Linked DNA regions of Danio rerio. The protein of the gene in region 1 purifies or fractionates together with the protein of each later gene. This does not show direct contact. Links are inferred from orthologs where the notes say so. Each region holds a gene or a part of one and is shown in the gene's direction. Other genes may lie near its edges.

The links.
Region 2: the proteins of sgsh (region 1) and sumf1 purify together in Homo sapiens (co-immunoprecipitation; 3 studies listed by BioGRID and IntAct, with this or other methods). This does not show direct contact. The link is inferred for Danio rerio from reciprocal best matches to the Homo sapiens genes SGSH and SUMF1.

What each region holds. Positions count from the first base shown.
Region 1 is NC_133197.1:11,183,186-11,186,213, forward strand, and holds the end of sgsh (N-sulphoglucosamine sulphohydrolase precursor), read left to right. Parts: intron 1-1,835; coding exon 1,836-2,395; 3' UTR 2,396-2,515; downstream 2,516-3,028. UniProt on the Homo sapiens protein: Catalyzes a step in lysosomal heparan sulfate degradation.
Region 2 is NC_133181.1:42,468,802-42,472,874, reverse strand, and holds the start of sumf1 (formylglycine-generating enzyme precursor), read left to right. Parts: upstream 1-1,272; 5' UTR 1,273-1,476; coding exon 1,477-1,743; intron 1,744-2,278; coding exon 2,279-2,452; intron 2,453-2,623; coding exon 2,624-2,698; intron 2,699-3,725; coding exon 3,726-3,808; intron 3,809-4,073.

The sequences.
Region 1 (3,028 bases):
CCAATCGCAAGTTGTTCGTGCAAAATCTTAAATGTTGACCCTCTTTATTGCATATTTTCACACATGATTCTACATCTGATCTCTACTCTTATTTACTGATTTATTTGTCAATGTAACATTTCCTAGATGCATAAATTGTAAGCCGTTTGTGTGATGTAAAAAATTCTGTTCCTCACTATTTGGCTTTTTTGCACTTGATTTTATATTTTAACTCTTATTTTCTACTGTAAAAAATGTTTTATTTATATTAATCGTAAAATAGCGTCTTCACATTTTCACACTTGATTTTAGATTTTATCTCATAATTTATTTACTTGCATAATTTTGCCAATGTAACTACATTATCTCTCTGTAAAAATAGTAAATTGTTTGTACGATTATAAAAAATGGTGTCTCACTATTTTGCGCTTGATCCCTTTTTATTGACATAGTTATGCGAATGACAACATTTTCTTGTTATACGATTCATACATTTTTTGTACAACATAACAAAATGCCATCTTTGCTATTTCGCAATTTCAGACTTGATTCTATCTAGATCTCCAATCTTTTATTTACTGTCAGTTTTGGCAATGTGACTACATTTTCTCACTTTTCGAATCAATAATTGTTCGTACAATACTTTTATCGCACAGTAATGAAAAATGTTTTCCCATGCTATTCGAACTAATTGTAAAATGGTGCCTTCGCATTTTCACATCTCTTATTTTATTTACTCACACACTTTCGCCAATGTAAGTATATTTTCTCTCTGCACAAATCGTAAATTGTTTGTACGATATGAACGCTATTTTGCAGTTTTGCACTTGATTCTATTTTTTCTATATATTTATTATATAGAAATTAATTTATTTGATCTCTATTATTGCATTTATTGGCATTGTTTTGCCAATGTTGATCACATTTTCTTACCGTACAAATTATAAATTGTTTGTGCGATATGAAAAAAAGTGAGTTCTCACTATTTCGCATTTTTGCACTTGATTCTGTTTTATCTTCTATCTTATTTACTTGCATAGTTTTGCCAACATAACTACATTTTCTTTCAGTACGAGTTGTTCGTAAGTTCGAATTGTTTCAGTACACATCGTAAATTGTTCGCACGATTAAAAAAATTGCATCATTCGCTATTTTGCTTTTTTGAGCTTGATCCCTTTTTATTAGCACAGTTTTGCGAATGTGATTCGAATGTGATTCAATGAACACATTTTCTTTGTACAAATCTTAAATTGTTCATGCGATATTAAAAAAATGGCATCTTCGCTATTTCGCAAGGTTACACTTTTGTATTTTATCTTTTTTTCTGACATAGTTTTGCCAATGTAACCAAATTTTCTTGCTGTACGAGTCATTAATTGTTCGTACGACATAATAAAAATGGCATCTTCGCTGTTTCACATTTTTGCACTTGATTCTATATTCTATCTCTAATCTTTTGTTTAGATACTGTACATTGTTCGCACGATAATAAGAAAATGGTTTCCTGCGCTATTTGATCTAATTGTAAAATTCTCTTCACATTTTTGTACTTGATTCTTTATTTTATCTCTAAACTTTTATTTACTCGCATAGTTCTGCCAATGTGACCACATTTTCTTTCCCTGTAAATCGACAAAACGATAAAAAAAATGGCATCTTCGCTATTTTGCATTTTTTTTGCGCTTGATTCAATATTTTTTCTTTAATCTTTTATTTACTCAGATGGTTTTGCCAATGTTGATCACACTTTCTTTCTGTAAAAATGATAAATTATTCATACAATATAAAAAAAAATGGAATCCTAAATTGTTCGTAGGATGTTAAAAAAATGTCGTCCCTCACTATTGTTTCCGCAGACATCACTCCTACAATTCTGGACTGGTTCTCTTTGCCGTACCCATCCTACAGTCTCTCCATGTCGCAACCTGTGGAGTTGACGGGTCGCTCTCTCCTCCCAGCCCTGATCTCAGAGCCATCCTGGGACACCGTCTTCTCCAGCCAGAGTCTCCACGAGGTCACCATGTTTTACCCTATGCGCTCCATCCACAAGGGCCCCTACCGGCTCCTCCATAACCTGCACTACCGCATGCCTTTCCCCATAGACCAGGACTTCTACATCTCTCCAACCTTCCAGGACCTGTTAAACCGCACTCAGTCAGGACGACCCACAGGCTGGTTTAAGACGCTAAATGAGTATTACTACCGGCAGCGATGGGAGCTGTTTGACGTCCGGACTGATCCGATGGAGAAGGTGAATCTGGCTGGTGATCTGGATTATTCAGAGGTTCTGGAGAGCCTGAAGGATCTGCTATTAAAGTGGCAGTGGAGGACGGAAGACCCCTGGGTTTGTGAACCTGATGCAGTTTTGGAGGCCAAATTGGAGCCGGAGTGCAGACCGCTATACAACGGACTATGATTTTACAGACTCATGAACTTCTTATGATTCAGGTTTTACTTGTTCTGAAGAATGTATTTGTAGATTTTTTTATTGAAATGTTAATAAAAGGTCTGAATAAAAACAAAAACATGACGTCAATATGAGCTAGATTTGTTTTGTTTGGATATATCTGAAACTGTGGTACTACAGTAGTGCGTTTGATTCACTATAGATTGCTAAAAAGGCAGTAAAGCTTCATATAATGTTTTCACTGCCCTGCATAAATGTTGTCAATCAATGTTATTTAATTACTGTCATTATTAATTATTTCAGTTTAATTTTATTACAAATATCTAAATCTAATCTAAATTAATATACAATTATTAGCATAATCATTTTAAATACTTAACAACAACAATGAAACTAATAATAATAGTATAAAAATGATATACAGAAAGCATATAATTACTATTTTAAAAGCATCAAATTGCAACATTTTAGTAATAATGCAAAGATATACCTAAGCAGTATGATTTGAATTTGATGATAACAACTGTTATTATTTAAATAATTAAAATATATAATAACAATAAAGAAGTATTAATATATTATAGTATATACATGTTTTTAAAATAACACTGAATTTGTAATATGTATCTTATTATTATTAAT
Region 2 (4,073 bases), on another chromosome or scaffold:
ACATTTAAAAAAGAGATAACTAAAGAGATAGTTCATCCAAAATAAATAAAAACTCTGTCGTCATTTCCTGCACACCTTACACTAGTTTTAAAACTGTAGCAGTCTGTCTTTCTTCTACTGAACACAAGAGAAGATATTTTAAATATTTTTGAATATTGGCAACCAAACCATTGATGGTGCAGTCCACATTTACTGCTGTATTGTTTATATTTTTTGCCCTATATAGTAGTCAGCGGGGTCAATCAACTTTTTGGTTTTATTCTTCAAAATGTTATAATTTTGTATTTAGCAAAAAGAAAGAAAATAAAACTCATCCAAGTTTGAAACAACTTGGGGATGAGTAAATAGTGTGCACATTTTCAGTTTTGAGAGAACTACCCCTTTAATATAAAATACAGTCTGTCATAAATAATACTTTAAAATGTATGAATGAATTGAATGCACAATTAACAATAAGAAAAACAAACTTCTTACAATAAATATTAATGTGTGTCTAAAAAATGTATGTCTTGAACAGAGGCGAACTTAATCAATAAGCGAGGTAAGCAGCCGCTTAGGGTCCAGGGGAAGTAGGGGACTCCAACCAATGACGAGAAGCCTATTAATCATATAGGTCCTTTATACATTTTCTATCATATGTTGTGAAATCTTTCTATAACCATAAAAGATTTTAATTGTATTACTTCATTTCAAAACCAGGGGCTCACATGAATATGGAACGTTCCATCAATACCACACATGCAAATATTGAAATCTAACCACAAACATGGCTAATTAACTGTACATGCTTGTTTTTATTTGTGGATTTATCTTTACATTAAGAAAATAAAGATTGCAAATAATTTTTTTTTACAAAACAACCACAACAACAAAACAAATCTACAGAGAAAAAATATCTATAGAGAAAGAGAATGCTTTGAGTTTCAATGCTTGGGCCCCCTACCTGGATATGCTTAGAGCCCCCGAATCGCGCAATATGCTAATCAGATTCTCCCAGTGTAAATTTTAATGTGGAGTAGTGTGCTATGAAGCTGTAATATCGCCCTAATTCCTAACCCTAACCTCAGAACCATTCAAATACAGCGTTGGTAGCATAATCTGATGAGTAGGATAAAATGTCAGAACACCTGCCCCTGGTCCTGAAGATGTGGACCTGTGTTTCTCAACTGCACTTCCACAGACTCCTCCTGGCGCGCTCACGACAATGTGGACGAGCACAAACAGCGACCTCTAGTCACAGATTCCTGCATTTCTTTTCAGAACTGAACAAATAATTAATTGTGTGACTAAAGCAAACGCTACACGCTAGCAGAGTTGCTGAGATAAATGCAGATGCATATCTTTAAACCCGTTAAATTGAGTAAAGTGAAGTAGCCTACTCTAGTGTGAGTGTCTGCTCTGCTCCTACACACGTGTCAGCTGACTGATCACCTGACCGTTTTCGGACGTGCGGATCAACATGACGAGCTGAGGCTCATGGCTATGGCACCGGTGTTGAATATTTGCGTGGTTTTATTTTTTAGTATTTTAGCAGTGAGTTGCGATGTAGGCGATATTGTGCAGGAGCAGAGGTCGGAGTCCCCGGAGTCGCAAGGCACAGATTGTGGTTGTCAGGGACTGAAGAGAGAAGTTTCTGTTGGTGTAAGCGATGTAAACACACTGGATCATCACGATGATGCAAATATTTACTCCAAAACAGCGAACGAGGGTCCAGACAAGACTGAGTCTGATGTACGCAGTAAGGTATGTTTGCTGTTGTCACTTTTGACGAGTAGCTAGTGTTGTTTAGTTTGGTCATTTACTGTCTTCTGTGAGCAAAAAATAAATAAATAGTAAGAGCTCACTTTTCAGTTGAATTCATTTCAGAAATTAGCAGTTAATCAGAGTAAATTGTTCATTTTATTTTATTGTTGTTTCATGATGTTTTCATCTGTGAATCTTCAAAAATGAAAGAAAACCAATGCAAAAGTAATTATTTAGATTTAAAACTTGACATTTAGGTTGACATCTGTGGTCATAATCATTACGTTATATGAACATGAACAACATGTTAATTCTGACTTTATTAGGCAGGGAAGAAATAATGTTATATAATAAAAGGAAGTGATGATGAAAACACATTTTTTAATAAACTATTGACTTGTACATAAAAGCTGAATGGTGTGTGTGTGTGTATGTATGTATGTGTGTGTGTGTGTGTGTGTGTGTGTGTGTGTGTGTGTGTGTGTGTGTGTTTGTGTGTGTGTGTGTGTGTGTGTGTGTGTGTGTGTGTGTGTAGCTGGTGCTGCTGCAGGGAGGTTGGTTTTTGATGGGAACAGATGATCCAGGAATACCACAGGATGGAGAAGGACCTCAGAGGAAAGTGAAGCTGGATGCTTTTTACATTGAAGAGCATGAAGTCACAAACCAGCAGTTCCAGCACTTCACCAACCAGACCGGTTACATAACGGAGGTAAATAACCCTTTACACGGCTATACGACAAATTATCAGTACACCAACTCTCTCTCAATATTATATATATATATATATATATATATATATATATATATATATATATATATATATATATATATTTTTTTTTTTTATTTTTTATTTTTTTTTTATGATTATTTTTTTATCTAGGCTGAGCGTTTTGGAGATTCCTTTGTTTTTGAGGGACTGTTGAGTGAAGAAGTGAAGAGCACACTGTCACATGCGGTGAGAAATGTGTACACATGCAATAATGACCCACTGCTTGCTGCTGGATAAATTGTATACTGTGTGGATCAAAGAAGAAATGAATTCAAACATCAGATATTTCAAATGTAAAACAGCTTTGCATTGAGTTTTTTTCCCTCTGTGCAGAATACGTCCTGTTTATTTAGTGTATTTTAACTAAGCAAAACAATTTTCCACAATACACCTTCCAAATGTCATTCATTGTCATAGTTTACATAACAAATAATCTTGTCAAGCAAATTTAATCAAGAAACATTTGGTGACATTAAAATACTCTATTTAAAGTAGATTTGTGTACTTTAAAGAAAATAACGTTGAATAAAAGGTAATGATGACTAATTAAATAACATAAAACATACACATTTGTTACATTTCTATAGTTTACACCTAAAAACTTAATTCTGTTTGCCAATAGTACTCTATTTATTTTTCAAGTGTATATAAACATAAAGGCCATTACAAAAGGTCCCAGAATGATGAAGAGAAAAGAGAAATGTCTAATTAAAATGTAAACTATCTGTATAAATTAAATTAAGTGGGACCAGGGAAGACTATCTTGGAAATAACCAATATACTGTAAAGTCGCAGTGTTGCATAAAAAGTAAGATATTAAAATTTGAAGCCTATCTTACTCTTAAAAAAAAAAGTTACAATGCAAAAATACTTGCACATTACTTTCCTTAAAAAGTAGCTTAGTATCTTATTATGCTGGAAATCCTCCACACCTCCACAGGTCTTGGGGTAGGATTTGGGTAAAAACAAAAAGAAATTAGAAAGAAGGAAACTAATGTTTATTGTTGTATTACTGTATATGGTAATGTTACTTTCCTTCATTTAGTGTCACACTTAGCTACTTTTTTTTAAGTGACTTTAGATTGCTGCATGAGCTCTTCTTTCATAAAGAGGTTAATTTCCAAATATAGCCAAGAATAGACCAAATGTGCATTTATAAAAAAAAAACAAAAAAAAAACAAAGCTGCACTACAGTGTCTGTGTGTGTCAGTAGGTGGCTGCTGCTCCTTGGTGGTCACCAGTGAAAGGTGCAGACTGGAGACACCCAGAAGGACCAGATTCAACCATACACAACAGGTAAACGCATAGAAATGAGCAAGCAGTAATTATTCTGTATAATCAGATGATGTTTATTAGAGCTGCACAATATATCGTTTCAGCATCGATATTGCAGTGTGTGCATTCGCAGTAGTCACATCGCAGCATCTGCAATATGGAGTTGGGACTATTATTGTTGATCAGCAATGAAGATTGTACAGTGTTTACATTTTACATTACATTTAATAATAGAGGCAGACCAAAATAGCGATATGCATGAGGTGGCGCTTCTTGTAATGGTGGA